Linked DNA regions of Arabidopsis thaliana. Changing the gene in region 2 together with the main gene of any one other region gives a genetic interaction. Each region holds a gene or a part of one and is shown on either strand. Other genes may lie near its edges.

Evidence for each region.
Region 1: of CUE1 (region 2) and PPDK, changing one suppresses a phenotype caused by changing the other (phenotypic suppression), as found in Arabidopsis thaliana (one study listed by BioGRID).
Region 3: of CUE1 (region 2) and CKX3, changing one enhances a phenotype caused by changing the other (phenotypic enhancement), as found in Arabidopsis thaliana (one study listed by BioGRID).

What each region holds. Positions count from the first base shown.
Region 1 is NC_003075.7:8,869,244-8,873,004, reverse strand, and holds the start of PPDK (pyruvate orthophosphate dikinase), read left to right. Parts: upstream 1-2,133; 5' UTR 2,134-2,256; coding exon 2,257-2,529; exon of another isoform or gene 2,530-2,718; intron 2,719-3,685; exon of another isoform or gene 3,686-3,761. UniProt on the Arabidopsis thaliana protein: Formation of phosphoenolpyruvate. May be involved in regulating the flux of carbon into starch and fatty acids of seeds and in the remobilization of nitrogen reserves in senescing leaves.
Region 2 is NC_003076.8:12,587,103-12,590,863, reverse strand, and holds the start of CUE1 (Glucose-6-phosphate/phosphate translocator-like protein), read right to left. Parts: upstream 2,124-3,761; 5' UTR 1,915-2,123; coding exon 1,531-1,914; intron 1,029-1,530; coding exon 906-1,028; intron 814-905; coding exon 661-813; intron 466-660; coding exon 380-465; intron 283-379; coding exon 198-282; intron 115-197; coding exon 1-114. UniProt on the Arabidopsis thaliana protein: Phosphoenolpyruvate/phosphate translocator that transports phosphoenolpyruvate (PEP), 2-phosphoglycerate, 3-phosphoglycerate and dihydroxyacetone phosphate.
Region 3 is NC_003076.8:23,046,631-23,050,391, forward strand, and holds the start of CKX3 (cytokinin oxidase 3), read right to left. Parts: upstream 1,663-3,761; 5' UTR 1,616-1,662; coding exon 1,006-1,615; intron 1-1,005. UniProt on the Arabidopsis thaliana protein: Catalyzes the oxidation of cytokinins, a family of N(6)-substituted adenine derivatives that are plant hormones, where the substituent is an isopentenyl group.

The DNA.
Region 1 (3,761 bases), on a different chromosome or scaffold from region 2:
GCAATTGGAGTACAAAAATTAGACTAAAGCTTCGATTTTCAGTATCATCCAATATATTAGCATTAACCTTCACTAATCTCCGATATAGCAGATATGTTCAGCCGTGCGCGACGGCGAAACGAAACCAGAAGCTGGGTGGGTCTGAGACTCTTGACTCTCGAGTGTTTGAAATCTGTGTTTTTTTTTTCCATTAAAATAATAAAAATGGTTCAAAAAAATATACACAAAACGTCTACATTATCCCCAAAAATCTAAAAGTTCCTCAATTTTAATATGAGATTTTCTACTTGAAAGCACAACATTTAAGAATTACATAGTTATATATATTTCATTAAGAAAATCATTTATATCAACTAGAAATAATTCAACCAATAAGAAAAAATAATGCAGAATATTAGGAATCATAAAACATCAAATTGAATTAAATAAAGCATAGAAACTTGGAAACAAAAAAATCTAATGAATGAGAAAAAATTACTTCTTAATCATGTTACATAATGGAGAACAGATGGACTAATAATTTATTTTAATTAGAAAAAACCTTTTCTGTATAAACATTAAACAGTGATAAAAAAAACACTCGTTTAACTTTCTAAGATAATTGAATTGAGTGGGTCAAAAATATCCTGAAATATTAATCTCTAAAAATGTCAAAAAAACATATGCAAATATAAATATTTATATATGTTTTAAATAATTTGTAAGAAAATTGAACCATTGGTTGTAAAAATTTGAAAAAACAAATACTTTGAAGATATACCAATTTTTAGAAAAACACTGAAAAAGACTTAATTATTAAAAATATATTTTCTTCCATTAAATTTAATAGTCATTCACTTCATTTTATCATATATTTGATCAAATGATGGTTATCTCACCTAATTATCATTTATCAATTATCATCACCTAAATGATGGTATTGCAAAACATTGGACCGGCAGTCTGGCACGCAAGCGTTGGCTCACATCTTCCACGTAATTGCCACAATTTATGAGTCTTTGGAGTTATCTAATAGTTATACTCTAACCAAAAACATCACCAGAAAGTTCAACAGAGCATGGCACATAGCCACACACTCCCATAACATTTGGGTCCCTTAGTTAACTCGAGCATCAATGTATATGACACTTCCAGATTCTTCGGAAGTTCTAAGCCCTCTCTTTTCATTCTTTGAATGCTTTTTTTTTTACTGCCATGCGTGCATTTCCATAAATGTTACAAATTTTTGAAAAAATGGTCTCAAGTTATATAATATTCATGCTTGCTTCGTGAATTCCTTTGTCCGATTAGTAATCAAATGAGCGATTGAATTTTTTAAACCATTTTAAACTAATTAAGCCCCAATTAAACTTTAGTATGATTTACCCCCCCCCCCCAAAAGTCTTAACAGTTTAGATGTAATTGTATAAATTATTATAAGCATGTATCGCTAAGTTAATATTATAAACTTAATCAATAGATTAAGAAAAAATGCATTCATTATCTTCTTCTTTTTTCTCTTCAACATTCTTTTAATAACTTAACAAAATGATATATAAAAATGTATGCAACAGTATACAAACAAATTTTTGTAAATATATAGTTAAATTGTATACCACATCCCTCTCCTGGAACCTGGCTAGTCATATTCACACCGAGCAGAACCACAAATACTTTTAGGTTCCTACTCCATCAATCTCCTTTATTTCCTTAATATCTTAACATGTGGAAAACAAACCAAGCAACATCATTTTACCAATAAGATGGAGTTGAACTTAAGAAAAAGTTTTTTACTATTTGAAAATAAAACTATATACATATGACCTCATAATTTTGGAAACTGATTCTTATTCAAAACCTAACAACTTCTAGAGATCAATTTTAATGGTAGCCACTTATATGGTCGTTCAAAGGAAAAAGAACAACCGTGGAATGGACACATTAGCCAATCATAACCACATCTATCTTTCATCCACTCACGTCACTCGTCAAACCAAAATCTATAAACCTCCAAAAATACATAAAATATAAATAAAAAAATAGATCACATAAAGTCTACGTAACTAATAAGAACCAACAAAAATCAAATAAATTAGGATCAGAGAAGAAATTTATAGAACCGCCATTTCTACTCTCGCAAATAGCTAACCATCAAACACCAATTTCCATATCACGTAAGCTATATATATTTTTATTTTATACACTCCTTTCTCTCAACTTCTTTATTTTTATATACAACTCTTAAAAGTAAGTATATTATATTTATTTAAGTGGTTTATGCTTTATATAAGAAAGAAAATGACAAGTATGATCGTGAAGACAACGCCGGAGCTCTTCAAAGGAAATGGAGTGTTCCGTACGGATCATCTCGGAGAAAACCGAATGGTTAGTCGATCAAACCGGCTAGGTGATGGATCAAACCGTTTCCCTAGAACCGGTACAATCCATTGCCAACGGTTAAGCATAGCAAAGACCGGTTTGCATCGTGAGACGAAGGCTCGAGCCATACTTAGCCCTGTGTCCGATCCGGCCGCTTCCATAGCCCAAAAGGTAAGCCTTTCCATTTCAATCATTCTGGTGTATTTTCACCATAAAATTTTATACACTTTTTTATTACGTTTTGTTTTATGATTCTGACGTGAGATTCTTGAGAGAAACTATCACCGATCATTGGGTCGAACCATCTAGCAGCTCAATTATTATCGGTTATAACCCTACCGGTTATAGAATACAAAACAGGTTACGCCATTGTGACATTTGCTTTGTGATCTTGTGAGACGATTAATTATTTGATGTTGATTGGTTTCGTTACTCTTGTTTAAACAATCGAACGGTTCAAACTAATACACACATGTGATGTGAGATCATTTCGGTAGTAATACCAAATAGCGTCTGGCCTAAATTATGAAAGTACTATTTTGAATTAAATTATTGTGGAAACATGAACTTATTTAAATTCAAGTATTTTCGAAATTTGTAATAAAAAAAAACTTTTCCTCTAGATTCATTAGCCCTACTTTTCGTAGAAACAACTTTAATGTATTCAAAGACCACTTTGCTGCTTAAGTCAGACTCTTGTGCCACTTGGTAGATCCACCAATGCCACGTTTTGTTATTGTGCCAAAGAATACGTGAATATGTCCAAACGGCAATCAAATTCTTGGCGTAAAACACAAAAATTATGATACTAGTTTAAATCCACAATTCACCTTCACCATAAAGAATTCATGTATTAGAGATGGTATGACAAGAACTGGTTGAATTTGATGACATTTGTTTGCTATTGTTTTGGTTAAGTAAAAGTTTTGTTAAAAAGGAAAATAGCATCGGTAGTGGCAGATAGCAAGTGTGTGAGTGAGATCAGATATGGTTGACACATCTATGACGAGTCATCGCAACGAAACTTCTTTAATTTTGGTCAATTATATTACAATTTAGCATTTCGAGGTTGGAATTTTGGAATGATCTCTTGATAAGATAATAATGTATTTTTGATGACGTATCCATCAAAACTATAAATGATTTATATTAAATATGAAATTTCGACTGTATACAAGTTTTTATATTATAAAATTATTCGATGTACATATGATCATAATAATAATTATTTTTTATTTTATTTTATTTTTAGCTTAAATTATAAACATTATATTTAGCTTTTACATAATGGACATGTCAAATTTAGGATGGATAAATTTGATCAATTTATCTTTGTGCTTTAGACAGAATCTATTTTATCCAATTTTTGCTTTACTATATATATAGATACGTATATGTGTTCT
Region 2 (3,761 bases):
TTGAATGTATGAAGGAGTGAACTTGATGCCTTCCGTAAAGAAAGTCACAGGAGCCATCAGAACGAGAGACATCAATGTTATAATTGAGAAGAGAGTGATGTTGTCAAGAGAATCCTGCCGAGACACAAAATCAAGTTTTAGTTAATTTATTCCAAAACACGAAGATTGAAAGTTTGATCCACACATAGGAAACTTACATCTTTCTTAACCATGACTTTCTTACTCAGCACATTACGGGATTGGTTAGTCAAGTTTGATGCCATTGCACTCGAAAATCCAGCCCTACCACAAAACAAGTAACCGTAGTAAATATCTGAGAGTTATCAGAAGAATAGATAACCACCGACTTAAATGTCACAATACTCGTCGACAAACTAACCAGTTGAATGAGACCTCCGAAATTGAAGCAAGTGCAACTCCACCAACAATTGGTACAATGGCACCGAGTACCCATGGAGTAGGTTTCTAAGAAAGAGTTAGTAAACGAATTATGCTTTACACAAATCAAACAAAAGCGATGAGTAATATAGACTATCATTAACAAGCCATTAGAAACAAGAATCACATAGCAACTTAGTCCAGACAGGAGGACAATAGGTACGAGTGCATTAATCAACTCCGAGACGTCAAAGAAAAACCCAAATAAAAAAAAGAGCTCACCTCCCCGAGAAACATAGCAGACAATAAAACAGAGAAGAAAGGCTCCATGGCTTTAATGGTGTGAGTAAAGGAAACAGAAACTTTCCCAAGACTCATGTTCGTAAACAGATTACCAAGTGTGTGCACAACAGCAAGCGGCAAGATGGCAGCTAGCTATCAAGGTAAACATATCAGAGTGAGTGACAAATCTCAAGAACAAGCAGCTTTTACCAGCCTCCATTAAAAACACACACACACACACACACCTGAGCACCACTGATCTTTGGTCTCTTGTACAGGTTAAGAACCCACATGATAGTAATGAGCACACTACCAACAGCAAACTGAACCAAAGTCACAGTCATTGGAGCATGTAGAGCTTTCAAAACCTGCAAGAATAAGAAGAAACAAGAAACTAACTATTGATTCCCTCAAAATCAAACAATAAAATCAACTAATCAGTGAAACACATCTCTCTCCTGTATAAGATATAATAAAATTTCTGAATTCTTCATCCTAATCAAAACATGATTGAACTAAACCTTTACATTTTTTGATAGAATCAAAAGTTAGACTTCTAACAATTTGCCAAATCACAATAAACACTGAAATTTTCTGAATCAGCAGAACAAAATATCTCTCAAATTTCTGAACACTTCATCCTAATCAAAACACGATTAAACACAAAAATGAATCTCAATCGTTAAGATTAGTTCAATCTATTGAAACTATGAACTTACAACAATTAGCCAAAACACAATGAACAGTACCAATTTCGGAATCAGCAGAACAAAATCTCTCTCCAGTATCCTATTGACTATAAGATTTCTGAGTTCTCCATTGATTCAAAACAGTGGAGTAGACTAAGCATGTAGAGAAGCAAAGGAGTACCTGTTTATTGTAGATGTTGAAGTAGATATTGAAAAGGTACCACATAGCGAACAACAAGCCAAGTTCCAAAACCTTCGTCAATTTACCACTGTTATCACCTTCCTCAGCACTTTCAGGAACTGCAGTAGCGGCGGTTCTGAAACGATTCGTGTCTAAGGAGTGAGAGATCGGAGAAGGAACACCGGACCAAGCACGGAGAGGCGAATCAGACGAAGCGAGACGCCAAGATCGACGAGATAAAGAAGGAATAGAGACAACATTTGGAGAAACGTTTAGATCGCTTGAAGAAGCGGCGGTGGTTATGGGATGGTGGCGGAGAGAGAGCCGACGTGGTTTTAGGAGAGGAAGCGACGGAGAGAGGGAGAATACGGCGGAGCTTTGCATCGTTGAGATCTGGAATCAGAAGTTGGTGGTGTGAGAGTGGAGAATGAGGAGGAAGGCGTTGGAGACTCCGTCGAGTGGGTTGGTGAAAGCAAATACTAAGAGAAGCAATTCTGAAATTTGGGTGGCGACTGATATATATTTATTGAAATGGAAATGTGAGAAAGCGTTTCTGTATTTTTTTTAACCTTAGCATAAACCTTCGTTGAAAAGTCCGCCTTTTAAAACTTTAGGGTAATATTTAAATTTCCGATTTTAAATTTTTACTTTAAGTTGGTTAAGATGTTTTTTCGGGTATCAATTCGAACAAGACTTGTGACCACTATTTTTCGTCTGAACTTTTTTTTTTCACGACAAAATATCAATTTGTTTTGACAAATTCGAGATAAAGGGTTCAACGCACTATGAGCTAACGAGAGGGTACCGAATTCACGATATTCGACTCACATTCTACTTCATTTTTGGATAACGAGGTTACGAGGCACAATCTTGACCACCAAGCTCTGAGATTATGGAGATCCAAACCAACTATACAAAATTCGGTCCTAAAACTTGAGTCATATATCCTTTTATATATACTCGGCTTCTAGCAAAGTGTTAAAACATCTAAAACCTAAATTATTTGGTTTATGGTCGACATGTTCTTATTCAATCCATTTTTGACCAACCTCAGTTGATAAGCTTACATACATCAAAGAAAAAAATAGGCTTTGTGCAAAAAAATTCTTTAACTAATCTATTTTTGGAATTTTATCCTTCATCTCCAACAAATGCAGGTTCATCATTTGAAGTCTAAAATGATACGCAATATGATCCTTATACGTATATTATAAACGTTTATAAGGTCACACACATTAGATTATATTTTTAAAATTTTGAAGGTAAGGTTAAACTCTTCTTTTCGAGTTCGGTTTAAAAAACTATATATCAATATTTTATAAAATTGATAATAGCAAAAATAGGCAAAAATGTTATAATGCGTATTATTTTATACTTCATAGGATTAATTTACATTTGTTGGAAATGGAAATAAAATTGCAAAAATGAACAAGTTTGAAGGTTTTTTTTTACAAAATCCTAATAAAAATCTTAGTCTATTTATCATGAGTATTTTTTTATCTAGTCTATCTATCATGAGTATTTTTTTATCTCACGCACTAATCATTTTATACATAAGAAATAAATGGGTTAATCCGAATTTTGCATGCATCATTCACAGCTTTGGATTTTTTTCTATATGAACCCGAGTTTCATCTTTTTTTTTCTTCAACCACCTTGTCAATATTTATTGATCATGTTCGCGTATTATTCTCTCATAGTCCCATACCACCCACGCATACATGATCCTTATACAAAACAATGTACCATAACCACACCCTATTGTGCCTCAACCTAATCAAAAATCTCAATCTATTTCTTAACTTTGGTTGCCTAGTTGTAAAATTCTCGATCAGCAATATCTGCATCATAATTCAAAACTTAGATTAATTGTTTAGCGCTACGTGGTTTTTAAATTAGAGGAATCTCTTTACCTCATCGCTTAATTTATCATTTTTGGGACGAACTTGCTGATATTTGTTTACACTCATACTCTCAGTTTAACATGCCTAAGCAACACAATAATTCATTTAGGTAAGGCTAATTGTGCTTTGGCTCACACCCCTAGTATAGCACGCCTAAGGAGCAATGTTATCAAACATTAGCGTCAACAAAATGCATCTCAAGTTTTTTGTGTTAAAGAGAATCCAGTTGTTTTTTAAGTTTAAACCTTCTTTTTATTAGCTCTTATGTATCCATTTCTTCTTCTTTTTTGGGTCAAACTTCTTTTAATTTGTATCCATTTTATTTAT
Region 3 (3,761 bases), about 10 Mb from region 2:
TTTTAGTCTATGAATGGAGGCAGCGGACAAAGCGGTCTAATTTATCTGCGGTTTAGTCCATTTCATTTTTGAGGCGGACAATAAACCGTTGCGCACCATGTTTATTTGTATGTAAAAACGGTATGGAATTGGTCCGCTGCGGTTTTCTTCTATTTTTTTTACCCCAAACCACTGCGGAATATAATTGATGAATGGTAAATAAAAAACGGTCTGATCTATTGACGGTTGTGTCCGCCCCAACCGCCGTAACCATTCAAACCCTTAATTGTCTGTTTGTTCACCGGGTTATATGAACAGTTTTATAATATATGACCATGTAAATTTCGCAGAAATTTGACTTCGAATCCACGAAATTTGCATAATTTGAGTAAGAAATATAGAACATAATTATTCAAAAAAAAAAGTTTAGTTGGTTAAACGTGTAATATACTAATGTGTTACTAAATAAATCGCGTTTTAACAAAACTATATACTATTTTTTTTAATAAACTAACAAAACTACACGTAATGTATACTACCAAAATTTCTTTGTTTCACGATTTTAATGATGAAATAATCTGTTGTTAAAACACCAAGAATATTGATTAATCTTCTATTGCTAGATCGACCTTTGCATTAATATCAAGTTTATAATCTTAGACCAACCACCAATTTTGCTTATCAAAAAATAAAAAAACCAATATTTTTTTAATGCGTCTACGTTTACAACCACCTATTTTTACCTAGTCCGTATCTTCTTTCTAATCTTAAGACCAAAAAAGGTGATTAGATTGATGTGTGAAAAGAAGAAAAGCTATCAACAAGTTCGAGAAATAAATAAACAGAGACAAACAATACAAACAAACAATAGCATAACCAAAAATGGCCGCGCAGATCTAAAATGAAAAAGACGAAAAAACTTCGAAAAACGTACGAAGTTCTTTGTTGTCTATCAGAAACGTACGAAGTTAAAATCACTATTACTGTTTTTTTTAATCTCTGTGTGAAAAAGATCGTGGTACGTACCAGTAATAACATCCATCTCTAGAACATTAGTGATCTGTGGACCGTACCGAAACGTTTGTCCACTAATTCCGCCGTTTGATAACGTCCCACCGACTGTTAAATACAAATAATCCGTCCAAGAAACCGGCGTTAACCCTAACTCCAAAGTTTTATTCAACACCTCAATCCATAGCCACGCAGCGTCCACGTCAACATATAAACAGGTCCTAGACACCTTGATACCTCGATCCCGGTTTACCATGGACCGCATGTTGACCACAACTCCGTCTTTAGCCGAGGCTTGGCCACGGTGGCTGTGTCCGTGACCACGAGCGGCTAAAGGAAAAGACAGTTGAGAGTCAAAAGAGAGTTTTATGAGATCTGTGATGTCTTCAACGGAGGAAGGGATTAAGACGGCGGAAGGGAAGATTTTGGTGACGTGGCCGAAATCTGTGGCGGCTGATTCGACGGAGGAGGAGGAGGAGGTGAGTTTTCCGGCGAATTCGTTGTGTGAAAGGATATTCCATGGTTGTGGTGATGTGTTGGTTGTGATCGGAGTTGAGAGAGTAATGATGATTACTATTGTTATTGCTATAAGACGAACTTGTGAACGAAGATTATAACTCGCCATTTTTTTTGAGAAATAAGTCTTTTTATTTTATGAATAGCTTGATTCTTATCAATGAAGAGTAGTAGCTGTATATATATAGACACGCATGCAGACACATGTATTGTACGGATTTTTTGTTTTTTGTTTGTGTAAAAAAAAATGAAAAATCAGTGAGCAAGCTAGTATCTTCTCTGTATATAACTAGTAACTACTAATTATTGAAGAGTTTAGATTATTTGAAACAAATTATTTTGTTTTAACTAAATTTTATTTTCTGTATATTCCTATAATAAAAAAATTCAGTTGACCCGAGTAAAGTAGATAGCTGATATAATAATTATACAATTCCGTATTTAAAAGAGTATGTATGATATAAGTTCTGTATGACACGATACGCGTTCATGTTTTTGTTAATTTATTACAAAAATTTACAATGAATGATCAAAGTCACGTGAGAATCTAATTAGCAAACCACTGGTTTCAAACTTTCAATAGACCACAAAAGCAATAGTTGTAACTGTCTGAACACGCACGGTGTCGCTCACTAGTTAAATGGTTCTGCATAAATATTCCACGGTCCATTTTGTACATTACTACATTAATAGTTTCTGTAGTATTGTAGTAATTTCTCATATTGTGACTCAAAGAGGTTTTGCAGTTGAGGTTAAGCAAAAAAAAATGTAGCTTCTTTTGATATTCAGATTATGCAGTTTGGATCCTATGAATAGATATCCATGTTAATGTTTCACAAACTATATAGAGTAATCAAATGTATATAAGTCTATCAATATTATAGATGAAACTAATTAATTGATTAACTGATATAATAGCTAAAACTAACATAATGTTGTAATGTATCATCATTCCCACCACCACCATAATCATCACTGTAACCGTGATTAGTTGTGAAATAGCAAAAAAAAAAAATGAGCATGTACCATAATCATCATGGGGATTGGAGATTGGCCTTAGATCACCATATACGATATTTCCCCACGGACAATAAATCTTGACCCTTGGATTGATCACACTTATATTAGAACTTGGCTAGGTTTTTTGTGAGAGTTAAACTTGACTCGAATTCTTCCATCTGCATGTAAATAAGAGTAAATGATGTTTTTAAAATAATAACAAGAAGAAATTTGAGTTTACAATTTTTTAAATAATTTCTGGGTTTATCTAATCAAAAACTTAATACACATATAGTATGTAAACTTCAACAACATCAGCTAGTTTTATTTTCTTCTTCCTACCTGTTGAATATATTTTACGATCTTGTTGTAAACAATCGGACCTATAATACTTTACATATATTAATGTTCTTTTTGAAGAATATTTCTCATTAATATCCCTACTAGATGATGTTTCCTTGTCACAATTAGGTCATCATCAAAAGAATCTACAAGATCTGCTTCTTCTGAGGTCTGAATAATTTATTTAATTTCCTTCCTCGCGACTATCGAAAAGTGCCGATAATTCTAATAAATTAACAATCGTAGGCCAAACTTTGTAGATTCGTAATTAATCATTGTGCCGTAAATAAACGATAAAAAGCAAGACATGGAATATCCTCAAGATTTTGTTCTGTTTGCTTCTTTTGCCACATGTTAACTTGTTGTCGCTGCAATTTTTTTTTATCTTTTACTAATGAATTGAACTTAAGCAATTATAAAAAAAAAACACTCCAATTCCATTTGCTATAACAAAAATTAGAATTTAGACAGAATATTATTAAGCAACTGGAATTTAACTCGTGGTATACCACAGGGCAAATATTTTATTTTTATAAATAATATTATTAAATTTTAAGATTTTAGTTTAATATTAAAATTATATAATTTATATTAATATTATAATTAAAAAATTTGGTGATGATAAAATAATAAAATAAATATTGAATCTGTGTTTCTAAAACAGTCCTGCTATATTTCATATCAATCCAAATCCGTCATGCTATATTTTTCGTCTCATGATATTTTTTTTTTTATAAGTTTAAATATTAGTTGTGGAATTAATTTTGATTATGATTTTATACCGAAAAAGTTATGGACTATTAATTCTATGGAATATTCAAACCAAAATAAAGAATGTTTTTAGGTGCACATATAATTGGGTTTGCTCATTTTCCGGGATCGTAAATGTATTTTTTGGTTTGTTTCACATTTGT